Linked DNA regions of Caenorhabditis elegans. The protein of the gene in region 3 binds, or shares a complex with, the protein of the main gene of each other region. Each region holds a gene or a part of one and is shown on either strand. Other genes may lie near its edges.

Region 1 (10,025 bases), on a different chromosome or scaffold from region 3:
GGCTGCTGATCCCGAGAGCTTTGAGATCCGAACTTATTGAAGTCCATAAGTCCATGAGTCTCTCGTTGTTGACCAGATTGCACTTGTTGCGCAGAAGCAGCCTGTGACAGAGGAGCAGTTGGAAGCAAGCTTGTAAGATCAACTCCCATTCCGTATTGCATAAGAGCAGCAGTATATTGCTCATCTCGAACTCCTGGCATTGGATTGTACATGTTCATGTAGTTGTTCATGTATGGTGCATATGGGAGTTGTTGAGTGAACATCATATGTGGATGCTGTTGTGGATGTCCAGTCGGTTGTGATTGAGCTGGTGGAGTTTGTTGCTGCTGCTGCACTGGCTGTTGTGGGGCTTGTTGCTGCTGCTGCTGTGGCTGGTGCTGCTGAGCAGATTGCTGTGTTGGAAGTGGTCCAGAATTGTTGAACTTGTTCGGCGCCATCCTGTCCGTTGGTTGATATGAAGCGGACGAAGTGTCATAGGACAATCCTCTGTTAGATTGACCATATGACAATGGAGGTGAAGTCGATTTTAAGTTGTAATCGCCGTTAGGAATTGACGTCCTTTCTGGCTGAAAAATAATCGAGAATTAGAATAAATCGTCTTTGCAACAAATTTAACTCACCTCAACTTGTTTCGGCATAATACGAGAAGAGTTAAATATATTTTCACTGGCATTTGAGATCGAGGCAGCGGAGGATTCAGTAGAAGGAAGCTGTGGGCTTGGAGCAGCCTCAACAAATCCAAATGAGTAGTCATGAATGTTCGTTGGTGCAGTTGTGCCAACAAATTCCACTCCAGGATCAGGAATAATCTGGACTGGTGCTGCACTTGGAATTGGAGATAATCCTAGTCCTGGTGCTTCACTCAATCCTATTCCAAGATCCGTCTTCAGTTGAGTGGTCCATGCTTGATTTGGTTCTGGGGTGCTTTGTACATTTTCATCGTGATGAGTCGACACATTAGGCGTCTGCTCCTCAGCCAAAACTGATGATTCACTGAAAATTAAATTTTTAATAATCTAAATACAGGGACAGAACAACTTACTTTTGGAAGAAACCATCTTCTTTCTCCGGCTGATGCGAAGTTTCTGGCTCGAAAAATACTGGCGCTGCTGCTGGCTCTTCTTTAACTGGTGCAACTGACGGAAGTGGAGGTTGTGGGGAGAGACTCCTCCTTGGCGGAGCTGCTGGTTGAGGATTCTGTGCCTGGTGCTTTCGGAGTGCTTCTTTGCGATGGGCAGCTGCTGCTACTGCAGCAAATGAGATCGGTGCCGGCGCAGAAGATGTGGGAACAGTGGCGGTGACGGATTCCTCTACTGGTGGTTGAACTTCGGTGACTGTGGTATCCACTTTAGTCTGATTCTGAAAAAAAAACACGTTTCGTCATTTTCCTTCTTCAAAAAATTCTTACCTCATCAAGATCAGCAGTGAACGCATCTGGCTCAAGTGCTGATGATGGAGCAACAGCTCGAGAATATCCACCTCTGGCGCCACCTCTTCCACCTCGTCCAACATACGGTTTTTCAAATCCTCCTCGAGTCGAGCGTGGTGCTGCTCCTTCCTTATTATCACGGTTATCCCGATTATTATCTCGGCTTTCTCTTGGAGCTCCATTGGATCGCCCGCGGCCTCCTCGATCGACGAAACCGGTGCCTCCACCTGAAAAAAACATATCAATATTTGATCTATTTCAATCAAGCACGAACCTCTGCCTCTTGCTACAAATCCTCTGTTGTTATAACTGCCCTCTTCCGGCTTCTTCTTTTCCTTTTTGGCTCCTTTCTGTTCAGTCCACGAGTCAAGTTTATCTCCAGCATCCAGAATGTGATCGATTGCGCCGTAAAGATTGTTGTCAGTATCCAATAGCGCTATCTCAGCTTGTGCTTGTGTACATCCGGTGGTTTCGATAATCTGAAAATGAAAAAGACATGAGCAGTGAAAAAACCCCTCTTGGGAATGCGCGAACACTTTAATTAGCCCAAATGAGTAGGACATCTGGGTACTCTTACTCTCGCTGCACCATCTCAAGCGCGGACACCTGCTTTTGTCCTTTTATTTGCCATCTGGCCCCGTCTTATCGATTCGAAATTCCTATTGACACTGAAAGCGGACACTAGAGAAGTTCAAAACAACAAAGTCACGTGCGTCATCATGTCGGTGTGTGGCGAGCGTTCGCGTGATGCAAAGATCACTATTTTCAGGAAAGCGTCATTTCCAGCTTGGAGACTTACCGTCTTGATCATAAACTGTATGTCCTCCTCATTTCCGGAATTTCCTTCCAGTGTGAGTCGTGCAAGTCGCGCTTGATCGCTGGTAGCTTTTTTGTCGCCTTTAATACCCATTCTGAAAACAAATTATAAATAAAAAGGGTCAGTCATGTGAACGCAAGAATGGAATGAGAATCACGAGAATACAACTATCAAAGGAAGGTTGAATGAAAGGAAGGTCAAATAGATGACAAAAGTAGGAAAAGAACGAAATATGGAACCTTCCAGATCAAAAAAACATTATCAAAAGAAAAGCCTCGCACAGAAGACTCTAACGAACATGTTAGGATGAAGAAATATTTCAGCAATACATCACGTTGAACTTTGGAGGATATTCTAGAGAAGAAAACCCCTACATTTTACAATAATTTTGAAATGGAATTCGAATGAACTGCTATACAATGGAGAATCCTATTTAGCGATGATAAAGTGTAGGCTTGTTACTAGATTGAATAAAAATTTCGAAATGTAACAATACATTGACTGAAAATTTGGGTATTTCAGAGTGTGATATCACAAAAATCAATATTTCCACTAAACTCAAAAGTTCTTACGCTGAAAAATCATTAAAAAATTGAAAAATCACCGCAAGCTAGACTAGAATCGCGTTCAAATCTCGCAAATTCCCGCAGTTGAAAATGCGGGCGACCGCGACGCGAGCCGCAACGCACCCCTCCAAACATGCGGCATGGGTCTCGCCACGACCGAAAGTACGGTCACTCTTGGCAGTATAAAAGGCGACCATTTTCCGCTATTTTCCGGTAAATTTTCAAATGAAACTGTGTTGCGGAGGGGGTTTTCCGCTAATTTTGCGGAAATTTAGCTATTTAATGTGAAAATGTGAATAAAACAAAAGAAAGTGGGGAGGAATAGCAAGGAAACACACTGTTGAACCCTGGGAATTATCGATTTTGTATGAACTCTTCTTTTATGGCGTCGAAATTATCGACACGAAAACTCAAAACCTTGTCACATTTCTGAGAGAGAAATATCATTTTCAGCACACATGAGTCTTCCCAGATTTCGACTCGTTCAGGGAAAGGCGATCGGCGAGCGATCAACGCCAGGAGTCAGCACACCAGAGCCGGTAATTGTTTTTTTTTATTTCAAAATTTCTACAACAACAAAAAGAACTAACAATAATTTATTCCTTTGATTCCAGGCCCCTCCGCAAATAAAGCAGGAAGTCGACTACCAAGATGCTCATCAAATGGCTCCGGAACCCGTGGAAGCACCCCGTAAATATTTAAAAATTTAAAAAAGTTAGAAAAAAAATTTGAATCCCAATTTTCAGAGGCTCAAAACCATCAAATGCAGCCGCCTCGTCAACCTATACAACAGCAGATGCAGCATTTTCAGTCACCATCGCCAATGGCTCCACAAGGGCCGCCCGGGACTCCACAAAACTCTGCAGCGGCGGCCGCCGCTGCTTCAGATGACAAAAACGTGACAAAATGCGTCCGCTTTCTGAAAACTTTAATTAATCTGTCGAATAACGATGATCCAGAAATGCCGGACAAGGCCGCCCGTGTCAAAGAGCTAATTCGAGTGAGGAATTGAGCGAAAAACGCGATAAAAACCGGACAAATTCGGATATTTCAGGGCGTAATTTATCTGGAAACGACGGCTGAAGAGTTTACACGAAATCTGCAACAAGTGCTCAAATCTCAGGCTCAACCGCATCTTTTACCATTCCTTCAGAATACTCTTCCGGCATTGAGGAATGCTGTTCGAAATGGTTCGGTTTTATGTGCAAAAAAATTAAAATCGACAAAAAAAAAATCATCGAAAAACAGGAAAATTTGAGTTGAAAAGCAGCGAAAAACTTGAATTTAACATAAAAAATTGCAAAAAATCCGTTGAATTACATTTTTCAAGAAATTGTGTAGAAATTCCATGAAAAAAATTCAAAATTTCCAAATTTTTTGGCTATTTCTAGTCAATTTCTTTAAAATTCCATTTTTGATAGCGAAAATTATCAAGTTTCTAACAATTTCAAGCTGTTTTTGGTGATTTTTTCAATTTTTCGGCTTTGAAATTCCATTTTCCGGAGTATATTGTCATAATATATCCGAGTTCCACAAAATTGAGCAAAAAAAATTAAAAATTTCCCTTTATTTAAAAATATTTTCAGCTGTCAGTAATATATGGATTTTCCGCAATTTTTCTCACAATTTTGAGCAAATTCCTGATTTTCAGCCAATTTATAAGGATTTTCACCCATTTTCATAATTTAGGGCTATTTTCAGCTGAAAAATTGTAATTTAAAGTTTTTAAAATTTTTATAGATTTTCTCAAATTTCAGCTCAAAAATTCGATTTTCAAGCGCATTTCCAGGCAATTTATTAAGATTTTCACCAATTTTTTTAGCTTAAAATTTAAAATTTCCACATTTTTTGTCTATTTCCAGTAAATTTCTTTAAAATTCTATTTTTGAAAGCAAAAATTATCAAGTTTATCGCACTTTTTCAATTTTTCCGGAGTATATTTTGGTAATTTATCCGAGTTCCACGAAATTGAGCAAAACAATTATTTAAAAACTTCCCTTTATTTAGAGCTATTTCCGCAAATTTTCTCGCAATTTTCACGCAATTTTCATAATTCAGGGCTATTTTCAGCTGAAAAATTGCAATTTAAAGTTTTTAAAATGTTTATAGATTTTCTCAACATTCAGCTCAAAAATTCGATTTTGAGGCGCATTTCCAGGCAATTTATGAGGATTTTTACCTATTTTCTAGATTAAAAATCTTTTTTTTTCCTCAATTTTGGACTATTTTCCCTAATTTTCAAATTTCCAGGCACTGCATCAGTTGAAGGCGTAAATCCACCGCCTGGCTACGTTTTCAACAATGGAAGAACCCCAGGACCCCCTCAGCCACCTCCACCTCAACAACAATCCCAGCAGCAGCCACCACTAGAAATGCGTCAAATTCCGAATCCGAATCAAATACCCCCACAAATGGTTCAAGGGGGTCCCCATATGGTATCTGTAGGCGCCCGGCCAATGATCAGGCCTATGGGCCCCGGCGGCCCAAGCCCAATGGGCCTACAAGGCCCCGTACGAGGGCCGATGGGACATCAGATGGTCCAGATGCATCCTCCTCCCCCACCACAGCAGATTCAACAGCAGCACCCGGCTCCCCCTGTAGAAATGGAGGTGGAAGAGAATTTACAGCCTACCGCGGCGGCCACGGCCACGAGGCAATATCCTGAAGGATCGCTGAAATCGTCGATTCTGAAGCCGGATGAGGTGCTGAATAGGATCACGAAACGAATGATGTCATCGTGTTCGGTGGAAGAGGAGGCGCTTGTCGCGATTTCAGATGCTGTTGAGTCGCATTTAAGGGAACTTATTACACTGATGGCCGGAGTTGCAGAACATCGGGTGGAGAGTTTGAGGTATTGAGGAGAATTGATTTTGCTTCAAAATACGGCAGCGAAAAAAAAATTAAGCAAAAATAAGGAAATTATTGAAGAAAAATCGTCTTAAAAACAATTTTACATTAAAAAAAAAGATTTTTAAATTTCAAAGGTTCCGAACTATTTATTAAAAAAACATCTAGATTTTGTTTTAAAATCCAAACAAAAAACATTGCTGAAACGCGGTAATTTTTTTTCAAAAAAATATAAAAATCTGAGAAATATTTTCAAAAATATCTCCAATTTTCCCCTGATTCCGAATATCTATTCGAAAAAATTCAAAAAAAAAATTTCCCTTTATATTTCAGCTTGAAATCGCTTTGTGCATGCACACCATGAGATTTTTCAAATGCGCGCCCAGATAAATTCTCATTGGGGCGCACTTGCTTCGTGTCGATTTACGGGAGCTCTTCATTTTTAAATTTCTTTTAAGCTTTTTTTTTCAGTTTTTCAACGAGTTTCCTTGATCTTCGTCGATTTTTTGTCATTTTTTTTCCTGAAATTTTGTTTTGTGTCAATTTGAAAATTTTTTAGGTCAAAACTCCTGTGTTCGTCGAGATCTGACGTAAAAATATAAAATTCCGGGAGTTTTGAGATATAAAAAAAATATTTTAAAAATTTCAGAAAAAAAACTGACAAAAAAGCGACAAAATAAAAGAAACGCGCAAAAAAAAAAAAAAAAAACTTAAAAAAGCACGAATAAATTTTTTTAAAAAATGGAGAGCTGCCGTAAATCGACACGAAGCAAGCATAAAAAAATGGCTTTTTTCCTAACAATTTTTTGTGAAAAATCCGAATTTTCCATCCTAAACACTACAAAAGATTCCAGAATTCCGGAGAACTACGTGGCAATTGATGACGTCAAACGGCAACTTCGATTCCTTGAAGATTTGGATCGTCAAGAGGAAGAATTAAGGGAAAGTCGAGAAAAAGAGTCGCTAATTCGAATGAGCAAGAATAAGAATAGTGGAAAAGAGACGATTGAAAAAGCGAAAGAAATGCAACGACAAGATGCTGAAGCGAAAAGGAATCGAGATGCGAATGCGGCTGCAATTGCAGCACTTTCCAGTAATAAAACTGTCAAGAATAAGTTCGTTTTTAGCGTGAAATTTGCAGAAAAATTATTTTTAAAAAATAGATTTAAAAAAAACAATTTCCTGACCAAGGGTGTCATTTTTCGATTTTTCGGTTTTCAAAAATTCGAAAAATGAAAGTTTCGTTTTTCGATTAAAAAACTGAAAAACCGACACCTTTGTTTCTGAGATTTGGATTTAGAAATAAGCAAAAAAAAATTATTCAGAAAAAATTGTTTTACAATGCTGCAAAATCGATGAAAAAATAAAATAAATCAATAACTAATTTCTAAAAAATGGAAAAAAATTTCGTTTTTTTCGAATTTGTATTTCACAAAAAAAAATTTTTAGAATAAAAATTTTCAATTAAAAAATTACTATTTAAAATCACTGAAAAAAAATGAAAAAAATAGAAAATTCAGAAAAATAGCGAAAAAAAAGTTTTTTTCCAGAAATTTCGTTAAAACGATCAAGATTTTAACCCTAAAATTTAGATAAAATCAATTTCTTGTGGTTCTTAATTTAAAAAAAAAAACAGTACTTTCCAGTAATAAAACTTTCAAGAATAAATTCGTTTTTAGTGCGAAATTCGCAAAAAAAATTACGAAAAAGTGAAAATAGAAGCTGAAAGGAAAAATGTTTAAAAAATAAGAATATTTTCGACATTAATTGGTTTTTATATATATTTTTTTGTAGAAGTTTAAAAAAATTACTAAAATCACTGAAAAAATTGAAAAAAATTTTAAAATCTGGAAAAAAAGCAACAAAAAATTAATTTTTCCAGAAATTTCGTTGAACTATTCGGTATTTTAAGCCTAAAATCAAGATACAATCAATTTGAACAAAATTTGCTTTAAAAATACTAAAAATTCGAAAGAAATAGAAAAAAAAAGAAATTTTCGAAATTTGGATTTATTGTTAGAGAAAAGCTGAACACTTACAAAAAATTAATTTTTTACGTTTTGAGAAAAATTTTTGAAAAAAAAAATCGATTTTTAAATAATTTTTAGAATTTTTTAGAACTATAATTTTTGAATTTCAGTGACTTATAATCACAGAAAAAAATGAACGAAAAACAAATGAACATCTTTTCGGCAAAAAAACGTATTTTAAAAAAAAATTTAAATTTCTAGTGACTTTGAAAAAAAAACCACATTTTCCAATAATTTCCAGGAATAAACTAAATTTCTTTGGAGAAATTTGAAATTTATTTCACATTTCGAAAAAATTTATATAGAAATAAAAATTTATATGAAAATAAAAAATTTGCAGCTCCTTCCAGTAATGAAACTGTCATTTGTTGAAAATTAGTTTTTTTTTAATTTAGAAATTCTCTTTTCGAAAAAAAAGGTTTTTTTAAAACTTGATTAAAAATTAATTCATTTTTTTCCAAAATTAGGGAAAAAATAATTTCTAAAAAATTAGACAAATACACTTTTTTGTTGAAAAAAACAACATTTTCCAATAATTTTCTTTTTTTTTAAATTGCTTCCACTAAATTCACTTTTTGAAGAAATTTTTTGAAATTTTTACTGAAAATTGTTGGAAAATTATTAAATGTGCATTTTTTTGCAATTTCCAGTTGATAAACTAATTTCGGTTCAATTTAAAATAAATTTCGAAAACCAATTTCAAAAAATTCATTTTTTACAATTTGTTTTTGTTGATAAAACGAGCTAGTTTCTACCAAAATACCGCTTTTTTACATTGAAAATTTAAATTTCAGATGGGAAAACACGGGCGCCGCAACGACAGCACCTCGTCCACGAACAGTACGTGTAACAACTCGTGATCTACATCTTTTAGTCAATCAGGATAGCCGATTCACAGGGTAGCGATTTTTTTTGTTTAAAAAATTTTTTTAAAAAACACCGTATTAAACATTGATTTTTATTGGAAAAAACTGATTTAAAAATTTTTCAAAAAACTTTCAAACGAATGGTAGTTTTTAATATTTTAATTTTAAAAAATTCCAATAAAAATCAATTTTTATACGATTTAAAAAAATTTTGAAAAGTTATCCAATTTTCTCCTAAAAAAACTCATTTTTTTTCCAGAACATTCATCCGTGAAAAGATGTCATACGGTGGTCCGGCAGTCGATACAACTATCTGAACTAAAGAAATCTCATGGAAAAAGGAGCGAAAATTCTGCTTTTCTCGTTTTCTTTTTTTAAATTTAATTTTATTTTTCCACAAATTAAAACAATCACTTTTTTCCAGTCAAATAATAATTATTTCTCATTTTTAAACGAAATGCTAGACATAAAAAAAAGCTTCTTTTTCAGCTTTTCAGCCAAAAATTTCAGATTTTTCAGAAAAAATTCAACAACAAAAAATTGGCAAAGTGCAAAAAAACCAGAATTAGATATTAAAAATACAGGAAAAATCGAGAAAAATGAGTTACAATTCAGAAAATTAGGCAATTTTTTTTTCAAAATTTCTCAAAAACACTGAAATTTCGGTATTTTTTTCTCTACTTGAGCACAACCTCGTGTTGCACCAATCGAACATAGTCTTTGAGCGTCGGTGGAAGTGGAAGCTCATCGATTATTCGCTGATAGACACCGTCGGCACCGGCGATTTCCAGATTTCTACGTTGGCGAAGGTGGATGGCGCGCTGGAAAAATTTCTAATTTCGAGCTGAAAACTCTTTTATGAAAGCAAAATTTCATAGTTTCAATTCAAAGTTCGAATTCCTCGCAAAATTTCAGTCGGAAAACCGAAAACTAGAAGTTTCTTGCTCGAATTTGAAATTTCGAGGGGTACGGTATCCTCGAAAGTACGCAAACACCGAATTTTGTTTTTTTGAAGTTTTGGCGCCAAAAATACAATACCCGGGGTCTCGACACGACAAATTTTTAAAATTTTTTTGAGTACTGTAATTTCAAACAAAAAGTTTTTTTTCGAATAAACTCGAATAATACGATAAAAAACATATTTTAATAAAAACCGTGGCAACGAAAGTTTGAAAGTACAGTACTCTCTTCAAAGGCGCACACCTTTTACGCATTTAACTTTCGTGGCGAGACCCCGGGGATACCGTAATTTTTGACTCAAAATTTAAACAATAAATCCGTTAAAATATTAAAAAATTTTTAGATATTTTTCAAAAAGACTGTCGAAAAATTGTTTTTTTATAATTTTTAGAATATTAACAAACAGTTTAAAAATTCCAACAAATTTTGTTTTTCATACCGAAAAGAAGAAAAATGGACAAAATAGTAAGCTATTTTTGTGTGTCAAAGTGTCTTATTTCGGCTTGATCT
Region 2 (7,080 bases), on a different chromosome or scaffold from region 3:
CATAAGTTTTGGCAATTTTGACAAATATTTGCCAATTTCAAGTCAAAATTACTATTTTCCACAATTTTCTATGCTAAAATTGAAATTTTCATCAAAATTTGGCGATTTTGGGCCAAAATTCGTAATTTTATCCAAATTTTAACATTCTTAGGTCAAAATTTTGCCGTTTTCACGAATTTTGCACTTTTTTTCACATTTTCATCCATACCAGCATATACAAAATGCTCATAAGTTCTCGTATACTGTGTGGGAATCCATCCACAACCTCTTCCATTCGAAAATTCTTCCAAAAGTTGATCTTTAACTTCTTCTCCATCTAATATCACATCATTTTCCCATTCAATTACTTGATATGGTAATAGAATATCTTCTGATGTTGAAGCTTCACAACTTTTATCAATTACTTCCACTTTATCCAAGAAAGGGGCGGAGTTTGGGGCGGGGCCTGATGACGTGGATGGTAGATCATCCGGGGTACGGTAATTGAGCGGTTTTCCACTTCGAATTGATACTTTTTGAGGAGATTTCTGAAATTGTTAAAAAATTAATTGAAAATTAAAGTTTCGAGAGGAAGTTTTTGAAATTTTGAGGAATTCAGCAATTTTTTCCGATTTTTCTACAAAAAAAAACTATAGAAATTAGTGGAAAACGATAAAATTTGATTATAAAATTGACAAAATGAGATGAAATTGTCTAAGATGACCGAAAATTGTCTGAAAACTCATGAAATGCTGTTTAAGCCGTGAAAATAACCGGAAAATTGTCGGAATTGAGCTGGAAATTATATTTTTCAGGAATTTTTAGTTAAAAATTATCAAAAATTGACTGAAAATCACGTTTTTCAACTAAAAATATATTGTTGAGTGAGGCTCACACTACAAACTACAACATTTTCTAGCCTCAACCAATTTTGGTTGAGGCTCACACTACAAACTACAACTTTTTTAGCCTCAACCAATTTAAGGTGAGGCTCACACTACAAACTACAACATTTTCTAGCCTCAACCAATTTTGGGTGAGGCTCACACTACAAACTACAACATTTTCTAGCCTCAACCAATTTAAAGTTCTCAATTTTGGTTGAGGCTCACACTACAAACTACAACTTTTTAGCCTCAACCAATTTAAAATTCTCAATTTTGGTTGAGGCTCATACTACAAACTACAACTTTTTAGCCTCAACCAATTTAAAATTCTCAATTTTGGTTGAGGCTCATACTACAAACTACGAAATTTTCTAGCTTCAACCAAATTTTTTTGAGCAAACTGTGTCAAATTTGCGCTTTTTTGGTAATTTTTTCAGATTTTTAGTGCGATTTTTAGGGTTTTTTTTATTGAAAACTTCAATTTTTGGCGAATTTCAGCCATTTTTCAGCCATTTTCAGTGTATTTTTTACCAGGAAACTTTAATTTTGATCATTTTTAGCCAATTTCAGCCATTTTTAAGTCAGTTTTTCAAAGGAAATTCCATTTTTTTGAGCAATTTTCAGCCGATTTTCTGCAAATTTTCATTATTTTTACCTTCAGTTTGAATCCATAATTAACAGCTTGACTAGTCATCGGCAAATTCATCATATCATACCAAATCTTGGCGGGACCCGTTCTCCACGGCTGAACTACCGTACCCTCTTCATTTTTCTTTGCCATTTCCTCTGCATCCGTCAGTATCGGTCTCCGCATTCGTTCTTCTTCATCGTCAGCCAACATGACACGTGGCACCTTCTCAATGATGTTAAGCTTCAGCTTTTTGGCTCCAACGATGACGTCATCAGCGAGGGGCTCTTCGGGCTCTTTTTTGCGTTGATGTTTGGAGAAGGTTCGGGAAGCCCACCAGATCTCGGCACGGGACGTATGTTTGATATTTTGAGCAAAAAGTCGAGAGAAACGAAGAGTTTTGTTTGGATTGAAGTCTTTGAAGAAGATTCTGAAAATAAAATTAAAGGATTTTGCGGAAAAATGGGGGTTTTCAGTGATTTGCGTGAATTTTTGGCGAATTTTCGGAATTTTTTTGGAAATTTTAACAGAGAATTATGGAATTCTAGAAGAAATTAGCAGTTTTTAGCAATTTTACATCAAAATTTCGAGTTTTTCGGCGAGAAAAACCAGTTTTCAGGGGAAAAATGACGGGTTTCAACCATTTTTTTTGGAATTTTTGCAGAAATTGGCCAATTTTCAGGCTTTTTTTGGCTTTTTTGGCTCGAAAAAAAGGTTTAACAATTTTAAAGCAAATTTTCGAGTTTTACATGAGATTTCTGATGGCTAGGAAAACCATGGGTTTGTGTGGAAAAATTGTGGGTTTTTTCGGGGAAAAGTGACACGGGTTTCAACGATTTTTGAGTGAATTTTTGAGTTTTTTAAAGGAATTTTTGCAGAAATTGCCAATTTTCGGGTTTTTTGACTTAAAAATTGTGTATTTGTGTGTTTTTATGAAACTTCATTGGAAAACTGACTTTTGGAGCAAAATTCGAATTTCAATTTTCAATTTTCGAATAAAACAAAACCCAACATTTCAGTGAAAATTCGATTTTTCCAACAAAAATCGTCACTTTTATTCGATTTTTGCGCGAAATTCGAATTTCGGCAAATGTTTGCCAATTTTTTGAAATAATGGCGCTTTTCATGCTTAAAAAAAGTGAAAATTTGTTTTTTCCAACGAAATTAGAATTTCTATCAATTTTTCGAGAAAAAAAAATGAAAATTTTACTGAATATTCGATTTATTCAACAAAAATTGAAAAAAAAATCGTCACTTTTACTCGATTTTTTTTCGAAAAATTTTGAAAAAAAAATCCCATTTTACGATTTTTTGTCGAAATTTTTGATTTTTCCAGCAAAAACTCTTTCCAAATCGACTTTTGGCGGGAAATTCAAAAAATTTCAGTTTTCAATTTCAAGGGCAAGCAAATTTTGCGGAATTTTAAAAGAAAATTATGGAATTTTGGAAGAAACAGCACGTTTTGAGCATTTTTGGAATACTTTATTCAAAAAATGTCATTTTCGAGCAATTTTCAGAGTTTTTAAAATAGATTTTCCGAAGAAAATTCGAATTTTCGGGTGATTTTATAAAAAAGTTTGTAAAAATGGAAAAAAAAATAAAGTTTTTAGAGAAAAATGAAATTTTTTTTAATGTTATTAAATTAAAATTTGTCAATTTTTATACCACACACATCTCATACTACACATTACAGGATTCGGCAGGAAATGAAATTTTTTGTCAAATTTCCCAATTTTCAGTGATTTTTGATAGAATTTTTGAGTTTTTCGTGGAAATTTCCGGTAAAAAACGTCAATTTCAACAGAAATTTGTGGTTTTCAGTACCTCGGATCAATTCCATCAAGATCCGGATGTAAAATAGATGAAAGTGGTGCATCATCTCGAAGTGATGGTCTTGCAAATGGTTCCATATCTTCTAATCGTACAGGATCACCAATATATTCTTCAAATTCTTCATTTTTTTCCACTTTTGGCTCCATTTTCACACTTTTAGAGCCGCCATTAGAAGCTGACGAACATGCTGAAAAAATGAAAAAAATGAAAAATTAGTGAAATTCCAAAGTTTTTTTTTTCGATTTTCGCTACCTTCATTCCGTGCTGCCGGATGATTTTTGTAGAAATCCGAGAGATTAGCGTAAGGATCCTCTAGATCTTCTTCATTTTTTGGCTTTTCCGTTCGATACCCATTTGTGTGATGATGTGTATTGTTCATTACTGGAAAAAATTACAATAAAAAATTTTGAAAAATATTTTAAAAACCTGGAGATTCACGAATTTTTCAAGAAATTTTCACGAAAAAATTGAATATTTTCTGAATTTTCTGCTCAAAGTTGCTCGATTTTGAGTTTTAGAGATTTTGAATTTTGAAAATTCATGAGTTCTGTCTATTGATATTCTTTAGAAAATTTTCAGAGAAAAAAAAGAAAACGGAAATTTTGAAAAATTCGAAAAAAAAACCATTAATTTAGTCTCAAAATTGAATTTTTATTTAATTTGAATTTGAAAATCGATAAAATTTCCATTTTTCCGAATAAACAATGAATCAAAATTGTGCAAATTAAGAAGAAAACACCAAAAAATGCACAGACTACAAACTACAACATTTTCTAGCCTCAACCAACTTTTGGTGAGACTAAAAACTTGTAGAAAATTGGAAAAAATTACGATAATAACTTTAAAAATAATTCTAAAAACCTGATGATTCACGAATTTTTAAATTTTTTCACGGAAAAAATGGATTTTCTGCTCAAAATTGCTCGATTTTGAGTGAAAAATGGATTTGGTTGAGGCTCACACTACAAAAACTACAACTTTTTCAGCCTCACCAAAGGTTGGGCGAGGCTAGAAAATGTTGTAGTTTTTGTAGTGTGAGCCTCAACCAACTCCGGAAAAACTAATTTTTTGGGGAAAGTTCTCAGTTTTTTGAATGAAACTCGAATTTTAATTATTATTTCTTCAAATTTGATTGATTTTCGCATAAAAATTAGACTTTTCAAGAAAAAAAATGAAATTTACAATCATTTCGCTGAAAAATTTAATTTTTCACCGGGAAAATTCATTTTTCGACTAAAAATGTTATGAAAATCTAATTTTTTCAAAGTTTTTCGGCAAAAAGTTGAGTTTTTTCTGACTTTTCGGCTTAAAATTGCTCGAAAAATGCATTTGGTTGAGGCCGACACTACAAACTACAACTTTTTAAGCCTCACCAAAAGTTGAGTGAGGCTAGAAAATTGTGTAGTTTGTAGTGTGAGCAACCAAGTGCGGAAAAAATCTTTTTTTTGTGGAAAATTCAGAATTTTTGGAATTGAAACTCGAATTTTAATTATGATTTTGTGGAATTTATTGGATTTTGGCATTAAAAAATGAAATTTTTGAAGAAAAATTCATGAAATTTGCAATTTTTAGCAGAATTTCTGACTGAAAATTCAAAATTTCGCTTGAAAATTCAATTTTTCGACTGAAAATTGAATTTAGCGACTAAAAATGTGATGAAAATAAGTTTTTTCCAAATTTTTACAGCAAAATTAGAGTTTTTGAATAAAAATTGTTTTTTTCTAAATTTTTCTTCGAATTTTCACTTTTTATTCGGTTTTTACCGATTTTTAAAACAAAATTTCTGTTAAACGTTGGTTTATGTGAAAAAACGTTTAAAAATTGAATTTTCAGCTAAAAAATAGAAAAACTATTAAAAAAAAAAATATTCAAGTGCAAAATTACACTTTTTCGAGGATTTCCCCCCGAAAAAACCGGAAAAGAATAGCGAAAATAGGAAAGTGAGAAATTCATTTCAAATTATGGGAAAAAAATGACAAAATTATGGAAAATGATTCAATTTTTTCAACAAAAAAAAAGATTCAATTAAATTGATTGATTATCTGAGAAAATTCGAGAGAAAAAACAATGAAAAATGGGCAAAAATACAAGCGAAAAATGGGAATTTTACCCGAAAATTGACACGAAAATGGGGGGGGGGGGGGGGGGGGGGGGGGGGGAAATGGGGATTTATTAGGGTTAAACATGGTAAAAATTGACTAAAAATTCAATTTTTGGGGGAAAAATTCAGATTTCTATGAATTTTTACCCAAAAAACTCGATTTTTTTCACAGAAAATTAGAATTTTCCACTGAAAATCAGCTCTACATCCTCTGTTGCTGCAGTTGTCCCATCAATTGTCCGAGTTCAGGGCTTGATTGGAGCCCCGAGACGTCTGTAGACATATCCTGAAGATATTCGAATTCTGCCAACGCCGAACGCTCGTTTTTGCCGAATCTGGAATAAAAATGGGTTACAATTGACTAAATTTGAATAAAAATTGGAATTTTCCGCCTAAAAATAGCTATTTTCCACCGAAAAACTAGGAAAAATCATGAAAAATATGCGAAAACCCATAGAAAATTCGTCCTTTTATACGCAATTTGAGCGGCGGACGGCTTCGCGGGTTCCGCCAATCACCATGTTTTGCGTGGTAAAAGGGGCGAGTGATTTTAGCGGAAAATTGTTGAAAATTGAATAAAAATAACAGTTTTATCCAATTTTTAAGCAATTTTCTTCTGAAAAAAGCAAAATTCTCCGTATTTTTTGGGTTTTTTCCACAGAAAATAGCAATATTCTTCGTTTTTAGAGGTTTTCACTAAAAAATGATGAAAATTGATTAAAAATAACAGTTTTATCCAATTTTTAAGCAATTTTCTTCTGAAAAAAGCAAAATTCTCCGTATTTTTTGGGTTTTTTCCACAGAAAATAGCAATATTCTTCGTTTTTAGAGGTTTTCACTAAAAAATGATGAAAATTGATTAAAAATAACAGTTTTATCCAATTTTTAAGCAATTTTCTTCTGAAAAAAGCAAAATTCTCCGTATTTTTTGGGTTTTTTCCACAGAAAATAGCAATATTCTTCGTTTTTAGAGGTTTTCACTAAAAAATGATGAAAATTGATTAAAAATAACAGTTTTATCCAATTTTTAAGCAATTTTCTTCTGAAAAAAGCAAAATTCTCCGTATTTTTTGGGTTTTTTCCACAGAAAATAGCAATATTCTTCGTTTTTAGAGGTTTTCACTAAAAAATGATGAAAATTGATTAAAAATAACAGTTTTATCCAATTTTTAAGCAATTTTCTTCTGAAAAAAGCAAAATTCTCCGTATTTTTTGGGTTTTTTCCACAGAAAATAGCAATATTCTTCGTTTTTAGAGGTTTTCACTAAAAAATGATGAAAATTGATTAAAAATAACAGTTTTATCCAATTTTTAAGCAATTTTCTTCTGGAAAAAGCAAAATTCTCGGTTTTTTTTTGGGTTTTTTCCACTGAAAATAGTAATTTTCTTCGTTTTTAGAGGTTTTTTTTTCACTAAAAAGTGGCGAAAATTGAAGATTCCCGCACCTTTTATAGTGTTTATCGTGAATTTTCGTTCTCGGCGGATTATATTTGACGAGACCGCCCTTTTTCTTCAATTGTCTCTCGATTAGGCTTAGTCGTTCCTCTTCCGAACTATCTGATGAGCCACCGTCATCGTCTGGATTGATGGAATTTCGCTGAAAAATTGAATAAAAATGATTGGAATTTCAAGTTTTTTCCGTTAAAATTGCT
Region 3 (6,541 bases):
GGAATAGACGATTGATCGACTTGATAGGAATCTTGTAGTCGTACGTTTTTCCATGAAGTGCAATACTTGTTGGATAAACTTTGATGTCGTATCTTCCACGAGGAGTTGTGCATAGAATGTCGGTGAGAAGACATATCGGTTGCTCCGTCTCGGCTTCCAATCCAGCGTATGCCAGAACAGCTTTCTTGAATTCTTCAACTTTATCAGCATCCTCCTCATTTTCAAGATCAATTGGCATATGGAATCTCATCTCCATGAGCTGAACTTTGCTATCATCATTTTGGTGGAACTCCAAAACTGCCTCATTTTTGTTTGCAATAACATTCGATACATTCGTGCACGGGATTTCGAAAATTGGCTTATCTTCCCATGAAAATTCAACAGTCTTGCCTTTTACTTCGGCTTGTCCGTAGTTCCATCCTTTGATGAAAAGATTTGATTGATCGATGGATTGAGACCAATTAGAAGAAGTGAACGATTGGATTTTCTCGAGGTCCTGAAATTTCAAGTTTGTGATTGAAGTTTTTTGAAAAGCAGCAAGAAAGCAAGAGTGTTTTAAATGAAACTAAAAACAAATCAAAATGAAATGAACAAAAAACTAACAGTATCTTTGAATCCTCCGAAGCGGTGAGCACCTCCATCGTTGAGACCGACTCGTAGTCCCGGCTTGTTGCCAAGTTTTTGCCATTTCAGTTTATCGATATCGGATCCCGTGACATTAACTGATTTTCCACCCTTATCGCCTTTGAAGTTGAGTGATTTTTCAGTCAATTTAAGTGTTCCGAACGCCAAATGACCTACATCTTCAACATAAACTCCCGGGAATTGGAGCTCAGCCATTCTGAAAATTGTTTGTCAATAAGTCTAGTTAACGAGAGAGAGAGGGAAGAAATCGAAAGAAGAGACTTCAGAAAGTATACTCCAGCAGAATGTAGCGACACTGAAAGAAAATATCGATTTTCCGAGCGAAACTAATTACGAAAATAAACCCTCTTTTCGGTGAAATTTGTTCTGGTTTCTTGCAATATGAATTCATGAATTCAATATACTCATTACCAGAGATTGAATATGATTATTTATAATTTAAACAGAAATAACGAAAAGATTTCGATAATTATCATCAGATTCGTATCGATTCTAGAAGAAAAATTGGGAAAAGTGTTGCATTATTTTTGGCGCGCCGAAGCGAAAACAATAAACTACGGTATTCGATTGTACGTGAACACCGAGCATTACTTTGTACGCAAACATGACACCTGACGACATTTCACAAGGATTCATACTTTTTCGTTTTTTTTTCTCAAAAATGTCTAAATTTTCTGATTTTTATAGCAATCGTCGCTAATCAAATAATTTCAGGGCAATGGACGACGATTTGGACCAATTTTTCCATGATGATGCGGAGCAGAATGTAAGAAATAGCAAAATCTCATGTAAATCTTACCAAAACCTTTTCAGGCTGATTTTTCGGATGATGGCTCAGAAGATGAAGCGCCTGACAATGTCGATGTCAATTATGAGTTGGAGAGGGAAGAACCCAAAAGCAAGTCTGTTGCAGAATTCACTAAATTTTTGCAAGAATGCGAATATCCGGATGACATCATAAAATACTTTAAAACGATAAAGTTTTTCGAAAAAGACGCAAAAACTGGAGATATTGTTTCTACAAAATCACTAAAGTTTACTGTAACCGGTTTCATTCAATACTTGTTTGGCACGAAGCGAATTCAGCGTCCAGTTCTCAGAGGAATCGCTAAAATTTTTGGAAGATATGATATTTTCCACTTAATCTCCCCGGAGCTTGTGAAGTCTATAACGGTGAGTTAAAATATCTGTATTTGTTTATACGAATCACACATTTTCAGCACCTAAAAGAAACTCGCACCACCGCCTGGTTCAACCTGTTCAATTTTCTTTCATTCGTCCCGCACCCAACTGATCGAGTGACGAAACCATTATTTCGCCAGTTTTGTGTCAGAACTCCATTCAACGATAAAAGTATGAAAAAACGAAAGCTGACATGGATCTCAACTGACTATGACAACGTTTGGATGGCTGTTATGAATGGAAAAATTAGTGACAAGTTGACACTGAAACTTATTCCATATATCACTCAGAACGTCATTTCGAAATTGAAAGCACCATTCAAATCTGCTGATTTCTTTTTCAAAATGTTCGACAAAACTGACTATCATGGAATTCTTTCGCTTGGTGCTATTTTTCGTCTTATTTCAGAACATAACTTGTAAGAGATTTTATTTGAAATAGATTCATATAAATCTTTATTTCAGTGAATATCCGAAATTCTACGACAAAGTATATTCATTGACGAACCCATCTCTTCTCTATATGAGTCAGAAAGAATCCATTCTGACACTTCTGGATAGTTTCCTGTCGTCTACGTGAGTTGCAATATTCTAGAAAATTTATTCTGAATCATACCTTTTCAGCCATCTCCCAACATACATCACTGCTTCGTTCCTCAAACGACTCTCCCGATGCCTTCTTCTTGCTCCAATTGATGCTCAGGAACCAATTCTTGGATTAATTAGAAATCTTGTGATTAGACATCCAAACTGTTCTGAATTGGTTCATCGTGAGGTTCCTCAGACTCTTTACGATGATCCTTTCGACAATGATGAGACAGATTTACACAAAACTCGCGCATTGGAATCAAGTCTTTGGGAGATGAAACTTCTTCAATGTCACTGGAATCAAAGTGTCAGAAAACGAGCTCATTTCGTTGATAAATCGATTCAAAAAATTGAGTCTTACGTTCGATTCCGATGCACCGACGAGTTATTCTCTGTAAACATGGCAAAATCATTTGGCGGAGAGGATGGAGAAGCTGAAAAATATCGAAAACTGCAAGACGGGGATGAAGACGAAGAGGGAACAGGAAAGCCGGAACCGAAGAAAGCTCGTAGAAAAGGATTTGGTGGGAAATTCGCTCCAAAACACGAAGAAAAAGTCACAAGAGCAGTCGGTGTGAACTCTGAAGCGCCGAAAGGAATTCTTGATAGACAAGTTCCAATCATCGATGTTCCAACTTTATGGAAAATTTAATCAGATTTTTTGTTACAGTTATTGTTGTTCCACTTTTGTTGTTGTTTTTCCGTTTTCTCGTTTTTATATTTTAAATTTTCAAAATAGTACTGTTGTTTTTCTTTTAAAATAATTATTCCAGTGTTTTATTCACTGAAATCATATTTAAATTAAATATCTTGTTCCAATTTCTTATCCATTTTTCTTTTTTTGATTAAAAATATTTTTACAGTTCACAATGAACCTTAACAGCCCAGCTGTATCAATGCTTGGCGGTGACACCCCTGCACATGGTGGACCGAATTCCGTACTTGGAGGTCAAGGACCCTCATCAATTCTCACGGGACACGGTCCCAACTCTGTAATGGGACCAAACTCGATTCTTGGACCTGGAAGTGTTCTCAATCCACAATCAATTCAACCAATGCAATCACAACAAATGCACAGTAAGTTATTTGTGGAAAACTCATTTCAGGGTTTTTGCTTGAAAAGGATAAAACTAGCCCAAAATTAACTAATTTTTTTTAAAGAGACTGCTCATAAAATTTTCACTATTTTTTATGGCATGACAAAAAGTAAATTAACAAGAAATCAGAATTTTGCTGAATCCCGAGACTTCTATCACAGCAGCTGAATTACAGATTTTTTGAATTATCACCCTTTATAGAATATTTTGTTAGTTTTTCGTTAATTTCGGCAAATTTTTATGTCGTTAGGCGTCTAAAAATGAACATAATTGGCATGTCGATCATAAATGGGACTGAATCGACGATGTGAAGCGAGATAAACAACTAAATTATAAAATTATAAATTGTTCAATAAAATACACTAATTAAAAAAAACTGTATCCTAACTGATGCGACAAGGAAAAGTTAGCGAAATTTCAGATTTAAGCGAAATTAATACGTTTTTTTTTCGAAATTTTAATATTGTACAGTTTAAAAAATTTATGAAAAAATCTGATGAACTCTCTGTGCACGTTTATTTTAGCCGTGACCAGTCTTTCAACTTTATAACCTTTTTTCAGTCTTAAAGCCGTTTGTCAAAATTAAAGATTTATATTATTTCAGGCCTTCAAGGTTCTTCAATGCAAATGCATTCACATCTCGCCAACTCCAATCTCAACTTGAACATAAATCCAGCTTCAGTCGGACCTGATCGTAATCCTGGATCAGTTATGCATCACAATTTGGACATCAATCCTCCATCAGTTGCATATCAGAATTTGACAGTTCCAATGACACCACTTGCATATTCTGTATATGATCGAGATGCTCTGACACATCAGGCTCCGGCAAGTAACATCGCTGCCACAATGGTTCCAGCAACTCCAGCAAGTCAATTGGATATTCCGATGCCAGCTCTTCAGAACATTGTCTCTACAGTCAATTTGGGAGTTCAATTGGATTTGAAGAAGATTGCATTGCACGCGAGAAACGCCGAATACAATCCAAAACGTTTCGCAGCAGTCATTATGAGAATTCGTGAACCAAGAACAACTGCTTTAATTTTTTCGAGTGGAAAAATGGTGTGCACTGGTGCGAAGTCAGAAGAAGCAAGTCGATTGGCAGCACGAAAATATGCGAGAATTGTTCAAAAGTTGGGATTTCAGGCGAAATTTACCGAATTTATGGTAAGTGTTTCTGGAAAAAGGTCACAAAATCATTTGAATAATTTTTTTGTAGGTTCAAAACATGGTTGGTTCTTGTGATGTTCGTTTTCCGATTCAACTTGAAGGATTGTGCATTACTCACTCTCAGTTCAGTACTTACGAACCAGAATTGTTCCCTGGATTAATTTATCGTATGGTCAAACCAAGAGTTGTGCTCCTTATTTTTGTGTCTGGAAAAGTGAGTTTAAGTTATGAAATAACCTTTTCTATGTTAAATTTTCAGGTTGTTATCACTGGAGCAAAAACAAAGAGGGACATTGACGAAGCATTCGGGCAGATTTATCCAATCTTGAAGGGATTCAAAAAATAACTTTCTTTTATTAAAATTGTTTTCATTCTTCTTTATTTTCAAATTTTTGTTTCATTTTAAGCCTTCCCTTATCCCTAAACCCGGATCTCGTATAATACAGGTAAAGTAGCTTCATTTTAGACATCTATGCACTTTAGAACCACTTTCTTCAGTCTACCAATCCGATAAAATCGTTTCGAATTCAATAAGCTTTCGATTAATTACTGCTCACCATTTCTCCCCGTACCTTGTATAATTTTGTTGATGTTATTTTTTTTTGAAGAAGTGACATTATCAATGTTCTTTTCAACTTTCCTCTTGTTTTTCAAATTTCTCCCGTATTATTGAGAATAAAGTATTAAAATAGTTGTTGTTCAATCTACGAAATTGAATTTCTGATAATTTCTGTAATATATTTATTCATATTTCAAATTTATAACATTTCAGATTGAAATTTATCGTTTTAGATGATTCCAGCTGATATTATTGCATCAATTGCTGGATTAGTAAATGAAAAAGATATTGAAAAGGTATTTCATTGGTTTCTACATTTTCAGATATAAAAGAATATTTCTTAACCCGACAAAACTCGGATTTCGATCTCACTGTCAATTCTGTTTTTAAAAAAGTAATTAAGTTTCGAATTTAGTAGAATTTCTCCAAAATTTTTTTGCCAAAAGACTAGGAAAATTTAAAAAAAACAAACAAACTGAAATTTTAAAGGTTTAGTGAAAAAACTCCGAAAGAGAAATTGAAATTAGTGAAAACACAAGAAAACCAGAAAGAAAGTCGATTTTAATTTATTTTGAATCCGTAACAACTCAAAAACTTGAGCAAAAGTTTCGAGACCCGAAGAACTCGAGGGATGTCCAACTGGGGGGATTACCAACTCGGGGGATTGGCCCCGCCCACAGAACCGTGGCTTGCAATACGCCCATTTTTGCAACTGCCGCACGGTTTTAAAATTATTTTTCTTGTTAATTCTCGCTCTATTGAGAAAAATACAGTTTTAAAACCGTGCGGCAGTTGCAGAAATGGGCGTATTGCAAGCCACGGTTCTGTGGGCGGGGCCAATCCCCCGAGTTGCTAATCCCCCCAATTGGACATCCCCCGAGTTCTTCGGGTCTCAAAGTTTCAAATTAAAAAAAACAACACTAGAACCATAAACATCACATGTTGCTAAAGAATATCCGCGAAAAATGTAGAATAGTTTTTTTTGGATTTTTTTCCAAAAACTAATTTTTCGTCAAAATACAAAAAAAAAACACATGGTTATAAGATCGCTCACTTTTGCGCAAACAGTTTTTTGAAAATATAAAGATTCATAGTATCCGAATGAATTCAATTTTTTCAGATCACTTCTGAGTATCAGGACAACATTTGGGAATTCGTGGAATCACTTGTGACTCATGTTCTTGCCAGTAATCATGTTGGATATTCTGGTAAGAATGAATATTTTAACACCCTAAAAATATTAAAACGAGATAGAAGTTTGGAAAAAAAATTCAATTACAAAACTTATTTTTTTTAATTCA
Region 4 (5,544 bases), on a different chromosome or scaffold from region 3:
GCGTCGAAACCTGAGAACCATATCAGTTTGAAGAAAATAAAACAATAGCGGCCCAAAAATCAACACCAGATACAGTAATGCATAGTCTGCGTGGCGAGACCCAAGGGAGTAAGATATGGGGGAAAGTCTCATGTTAAGACGTCTATGTAATAATAATAATATCGGGAACTGGGTGTACTTAGCCAAAGTTGGCTCTCTAAAATGAAATCAAAGCTCTAAACGCCAAACAATGTCCCAATTCAAAACTCCACTTTTCAGATGTCACATCAGCCCAATCACGCATCGATCGCAGCGCCGCATGGTTTAAGCCGTTGCCCAACGTCCGTTCACCACAATATTCCAGGTCTCGGATCGGTGGATCTCGTCTTCTTCCACGTCGCATGTACCGTAGTCTTCCTCAAAATGACTATCAGGGAATGTGGGATAAACTAGTGCGTTTATAGAATGTGAAAGACTGGAACAATGTGATTTGTTTACAGATCGATACGGATGCACAGATGGATGCTGAAAATTAGAAATTCCTGCAGAAAGACTTGACCCGGTTTATCCCAATGATTAATTCCCACACGTCCATCTCGACTCAGATACTCTTGCAGATATGATAATCTCATCCTTCATGATACTAATTTTCCAGTTTTAATTTTGAATAAAGTGATTTTGTGTTAGACATCAGAGTTCCTTTTTTTCCCTAATTGCACGTTGTGACAGATTGTCTCATTTCTGTTTGATCTATGTAGATCTACAAAAAATGCGGGAGTCAAGACACGGAGATCTCAACTGATTTCGCACGATTAAGAACGTGCTGTCGTCAAATTTTTTTTTGGGAGAAATGTTCCCGCATTTTTTGTAGATCAAAGTATAATGGGACAGCCTGACACCAATTTGCAGAGCTGAGGCATGACGCAAGTATACTTATAGTCCTGCTAGATCGCAGAATCATGAAAATGACAGCTTTTGCACCAATTCTCGAAATATAATTATAGTTGCAAGAGAATTGTTTGACGTCACTGCACTTTTATTTTGAATTTTTTTTTCGAAAATTGATAATTTGCATTGAAAGCAGGGATGGGCGGCAAAAGATTTTTCCGGCAAATCGGCAAATTGCCGGATTCGAAAATGTCCGGCAAATCGGCAAATTGCCGTATTTGAAAATGCCCGGCAAATCGGCAAATTGTCTTATTTGAAAATGACCGGCAAATCGGCAAATGCCCGGAATCGAAAATGTCCGGCAAATCGGCAAATTCCCGGATTTGAAAATGTCCCGCAAATCGGCAAATTGCCGGATTCAAAAATGTCCGGCAAATCGGCAAATTGCCGATTTTCCGAATTTGCTGAAAAACGGCAATTGCCGAAAATTTTCGGCAAATTGTGGTTTTTCTTGAAAATTCGGCAAATCTGCAAAAATTTCCGGTTTGCCGATTTAAAAATAGATCCCTCTCAACACTTCCGCCAAATGGGTATCCGGCAAACGGCAAATGGTCGCTTTGCCAAAAAATGAAAATTTCCGGCAAATCGGCAAGCTGGCAAATTGCCGGAACCAAACATTTCCGGCAAATCGGCAAACCGACAATTTGCCGCCCACCCCTGATTGAAAGTACACTAAAAATCAAAATTCTAATCAATTAAAAATCTAAAATTTTCTAGTTAATAATTTTTTGATTCTTTCCAAATGAACCGAGATATACGCTGCCAGAGTGGTATAGACCTAAAGTTTTGGGTCGCTGAAAATCACAAGAGATAACGCGCTCCACGGCCAATTTAAAACGCCCCGCCCCTGAACCATGGGTCTCGTTAGGTATTTAGCGGTTTTTTCAAACTTTTTCAACTATTTTCGGGATTTTGGCAATTTTGAAGCATTTTTCGTTGTTTTTAAAGAATTTTCTGCCAAAACATTAACGATGTTTGAAAATTCACGTGAAATTGACCATTTGCTTTTTTTAAAATCAATTTTTACATTATAATTCATTGAAAATAACGGCAAATGCTTGAAAATTAGCGAAATTTACGCAACTAATCAAAAAAATTTGAATTTACGGTTTTGCCGCCGAATACCTAACGAGACCCGCGGGTTCGGGGGCGGAGCGTTTTTGGACAGTTTCTCTCTGCCCCTATAATACAGACTTTTTTTCTAAAATTTCCCTGAAATATTAATTTGGGAGCGTATTACAGCTACTTTACGAATTTGATGAAATATTCATGTTCTGATTTTTGAACCGCTAAAGTTGTCTAGAAACATTTGAATTAACGATGATTACCGGGAATTAAATAGTAAAAACTTTTTAAACTTTAATTTTTAAAACTAAATTAATTGAAGAATTAATTTTAATCAAAATTTTCAACGTGCGTTCGCCCAATTCTGTTTGATTTAGCCCTCTTATTACCAGAAAAGGGCCACGAAAGCGTTCACCAAAATTGTGTGCGCACGCATTACGAAAACGCGCGCCGCACATTGCAAGTGGGCGGAGCGCCGCACCACGAGACTTTTTTAAAGTTTAAACCCTCGTGCCGCTGCCATTGGTTTTTGGGGGAACTTTTTGAGCTTTTAAATACGAATTTTTATTGTAAAGATATGTTTAAACAAATTAGTAATAACTTTTCAACGAAATACTCGCTTTAAATTATCTTTCAACCTAAAAAAAATTCAAAAATTTCCCGAATTTCAGCAAAAATGAATGATCCAGAGCAATATGAGCCTTCTTCGTCGACAGAAAGCGTCCTGATGCCTCCACCCGCACTTCCACAGGTTTTTTATCGATTTAATTGATTAAAATTAACCGATTTAAAGTATTTTCAGCGGCCAGCAGCAGCTCCACAAGTTTACTCCACTCTTGAGCCATCTGTTCAAAATTTAAGGTTTGTTTTTGTTCAGGGTTAATGACATTATGACAAGACAAAAATTATTAACAAATAATTTCAGATCGTCGTTGCACAAGCCTCTCACCGGAAATCAGCAACAATTTGTGCAGAAAACGCTGGAAAATGTTCAGAAAAATCCATCGCAAGACGACACACACGAGTTCATCAATCAGCTCGCCGACTATCCGCCGACGATTCCCGATTCTGTAACATTGCACTTCTTGAAGTCTGCCGGTGTTGATGGATCGGATCCGCGAGTGACTAGAATGATCTCGCTGGCGGCTCAAAAACATGTTTCGGATATTATTCTTGACGCGATGACAAGTGTATGGTTTAGAATTTGCAAAAGAAAATCCAAGTTTTTTTACAAGAACAATTTCAGGCTCGTATGAAAGGTCTCGGACAGACGAAAAAAGGAACGAAAGACACAAAATACACGCTCACAGAGGAACTTCTCGATGAAATTCTCAAAGAATACGGACACCAGAACACTCGTCCACCATATCACACCTAATTTATAATATACCAACATGATACTCCTCAATGGGTTTTATAATGCTTTACATTTATTTTCCTGTTTTATGAATTTATGCCGTTTTCCTATATACCAATTATCCAAGTGGCTCTTTTTTGCCATTTTATGCTTCTCCTTTGTTTTAATTTTCAGTTCTATTTAACCCATTTTTCTCTAGAACACCCCCAACAATGCCAATGCCATTCACACGCGACGATGACTATGACAGTGATCCAGAAGTTCAGGCGGAGAAGGAAATGGCCAAGAAAGATCCAATCGGCTTTGCGATCGACTCGAGCTCGCTGACTTCGATGAAGAAGGCGGCGGCTGCGGCCGCGAAGGATCAGGTCTCCACAACTCCACCAAATCTAGTCATCGGAAGCAATGGAGGCGCCGGCACGATCGCAACCGTCCCCCGTTCCAAGTGTGGGTGCTGGAGCTCAAGCTCAAATGAAAGAAATTCGTGATGAAAAGTTCAAAATTTCGGCCAATTTTGACAACTTTTCCGAGTTGCAAAGCTCGGAAATTGACTTTGTTCGATTTATCATCCTTGTTTGCACATTCTGATAGTTTATCTCACATTATTTCGTTGATTAATGTGCATTTAAATTTAAAAATGACCAAAATGAGCTTCTATCGGCTTAAAAAATACTTTAATTAACGCAATACTCTGGGATAAACGACCAAAATATGCGATAAAGAATGATAATTTTAAAAAAAAGTCAGCTCGCTTTTTCGTTCGAAAAAAAAAGCGTGCGGTGGCTTGCGAAAAGCCGCGCGATAGGGAAAATGTCCTCCAAAACACTAACAGTTTTTTTTATCAAAAATCTCAAATTTTCAGCGCAAGACGAGATTGTAAAGAAGCAAAAGACTGCCGGCCAAAGCAAGGCTCTCAAGAAGCAACGCTCTCGCGGAATCTCGGGATGCTCTTCTCGCAAATACTCGGGATACGACGATGAAATGGATGAGGATTTCGGCGACGATGAAGACTACGACCACTACGGAGGCCAAGAGGTTTTCGACGAGGACGAAGAGGACACTTTTGTTGCGAAAAAGTGAATTCCCATGATGATGTCCCAGTGTCGCCGTTTCAATTGTTTAAATAATTTAATTTTAAAAAATTTTACCGTTAAACTCCTTGTTATAACTTTTTTGTGAAGTAGTATATGTGTACATTCACTCGCTGTAAATTTAATTTGCCTAGTTTCTTTTTCGTTTGTTTTTTTTCTGTTAATTTTTCACGTTTAATTTTCCACACACACACGGCTTTTTAGTTCGGATATTATTTCAATCCCCTGTTCCACACTTTTCCCCAGCGGTTCCATGTTTCTACCCCGATACTCTTTTTCAATTTTGCCCTAACTCCTTCCTTCACACACCAACTTATTCTCATTCTGTACATAAATTGATCGGCGCAAAACTTTTTTTCTGAGGCCTGAAAGTTAGAAAACTATCATTTGATTATCTAAAAATTATCTTAAAAAATCCAATAATTAAAAGCAAAAATGTTTAAGTCCCAGAGATATGATTCCCTACCGCCAACTAGTCAGAATGTCCCATCTGGCCGCCCGTTTCGTCGGCGGAGCAGATGTTCATGTTGTAGATCCACTAGTCGACTTGAGGAATGTCTTCGAGCAAACTGATCAGCTGAAAATTGCGTTGGAATGCAGAAATCTCACAGTAGACGTGGAAAAAGTGAAAAACGAATATGACGAATGGTTTGAAACCTATCAGAAATGGAAGCAAGCCGATAAAGAATCGATTTCCCAGCTGAAAAAAGAACTTCGAGCGAAAAAAGACGGTCTGCTAAATGCTCTCGCCCTTCCGAATCTTGTGCATCACGCCGGGAAGAAGCAAACTCCGCTATTAAAACCTTCAAGTAATTTATTGCGAATTTTGCAAAAAAAGGAGCGCATCGCACAGAAAAAGAGGCGGAGCGTAATTTTGCGACCCCGCGGCACGGTTTTCCACTATTTTTTTTGTTTTTTTTTTCAATAAAGTTTCGTTTTTACTGTGAATATTCATTCATCGATCCCTGCATTAATGCACGCATTTTGCAAAATTCAAAGATCGACAAATGAATTTTCACAGTAGTAACATCGAAAATTTATTGAAAAAAAGCAGAAAAAAATAGTGGAAAACCGTGCCACAGGGTTACGAAATGGCCACCGCCT

Evidence for each region.
Region 1: tbp-1 (region 3) and taf-4 share a complex: the UniProt entries of both Caenorhabditis elegans proteins name them as parts of the TFIID basal transcription factor complex.
Region 2: tbp-1 (region 3) and taf-1 share a complex: the UniProt entries of both Caenorhabditis elegans proteins name them as parts of the TFIID basal transcription factor complex.
Region 4: tbp-1 (region 3) and taf-10 share a complex: the UniProt entries of both Caenorhabditis elegans proteins name them as parts of the TFIID basal transcription factor complex.

Annotation. Positions count from the first base shown.
Region 1 is NC_003279.8:379,563-389,587, forward strand, and holds taf-4 (Transcription initiation factor TFIID subunit 4), read left to right. Parts: upstream 1-3,263; 5' UTR 3,264-3,270; coding exon 3,271-3,351; intron 3,352-3,426; coding exon 3,427-3,502; intron 3,503-3,558; coding exon 3,559-3,812; intron 3,813-3,866; coding exon 3,867-4,002; intron 4,003-5,062; coding exon 5,063-5,663; intron 5,664-6,513; coding exon 6,514-6,774; intron 6,775-8,483; coding exon 8,484-8,588; intron 8,589-8,814; coding exon 8,815-8,872; 3' UTR 8,873-9,002; downstream 9,003-10,025. Other genes in the region: Prion-like (glutamine/asparagine-rich) domain bearing protein pqn-59, read right to left, coding at 1-566, 621-993, 1,043-1,359, 1,409-1,656, 1,704-1,908, 2,229-2,339; R119.5 (Protein-L-isoaspartate O-methyltransferase domain-containing protein 1), read right to left, coding at 9,233-9,376. UniProt on the Caenorhabditis elegans protein: The TFIID basal transcription factor complex plays a major role in the initiation of RNA polymerase II (Pol II)-dependent transcription.
Region 2 is NC_003279.8:13,858,102-13,865,181, reverse strand, and holds the start of taf-1 (Transcription initiation factor TFIID subunit 1), read right to left. Parts: upstream 3,709-7,080; 5' UTR 3,707-3,708; coding exon 3,580-3,706; intron 3,515-3,579; coding exon 3,319-3,514; intron 1,925-3,318; coding exon 1,522-1,924; intron 528-1,521; coding exon 209-527; intron 1-208. Other genes in the region: W04A8.6 (ANK_REP_REGION domain-containing protein), read right to left, coding at 5,631-5,763, 6,874-7,025. UniProt on the Caenorhabditis elegans protein: The TFIID basal transcription factor complex plays a major role in the initiation of RNA polymerase II (Pol II)-dependent transcription.
Region 3 is NC_003281.10:7,380,756-7,387,296, forward strand, and holds tbp-1 (TATA-box-binding protein), read left to right. Parts: upstream 1-3,277; 5' UTR 3,278-3,283; coding exon 3,284-3,491; intron 3,492-4,115; coding exon 4,116-4,678; intron 4,679-4,730; coding exon 4,731-4,895; intron 4,896-4,940; coding exon 4,941-5,027; 3' UTR 5,028-5,369; downstream 5,370-6,541. Other genes in the region: hmg-4 (FACT complex subunit SSRP1-A), read right to left, coding at 1-496, 604-840; T20B12.3 (nucleolar complex associated 4), read left to right, coding at 1,364-1,411, 1,459-1,818, 1,866-2,245, 2,292-2,402, 2,451-3,066; Tetratricopeptide repeat-containing protein trd-1, read left to right, coding at 5,474-5,536, 6,361-6,448. UniProt on the Caenorhabditis elegans protein: The TFIID basal transcription factor complex plays a major role in the initiation of RNA polymerase II (Pol II)-dependent transcription.
Region 4 is NC_003283.11:4,684,446-4,689,989, forward strand, and holds taf-10 (Transcription initiation factor TFIID subunit 10), read left to right. Parts: upstream 1-2,657; 5' UTR 2,658-2,668; coding exon 2,669-2,743; intron 2,744-2,785; coding exon 2,786-2,853; intron 2,854-2,917; coding exon 2,918-3,182; intron 3,183-3,238; coding exon 3,239-3,370; 3' UTR 3,371-3,454; downstream 3,455-5,544. Other genes in the region: nssp-51 (Neuropeptide-Like Protein), read left to right, coding at 259-431, 480-515; K03B4.2 (HUN domain-containing protein), read left to right, coding at 3,562-3,796, 4,212-4,429; K03B4.1 (Seryl-tRNA synthetase), read left to right, coding at 4,895-5,249. UniProt on the Caenorhabditis elegans protein: The TFIID basal transcription factor complex plays a major role in the initiation of RNA polymerase II (Pol II)-dependent transcription.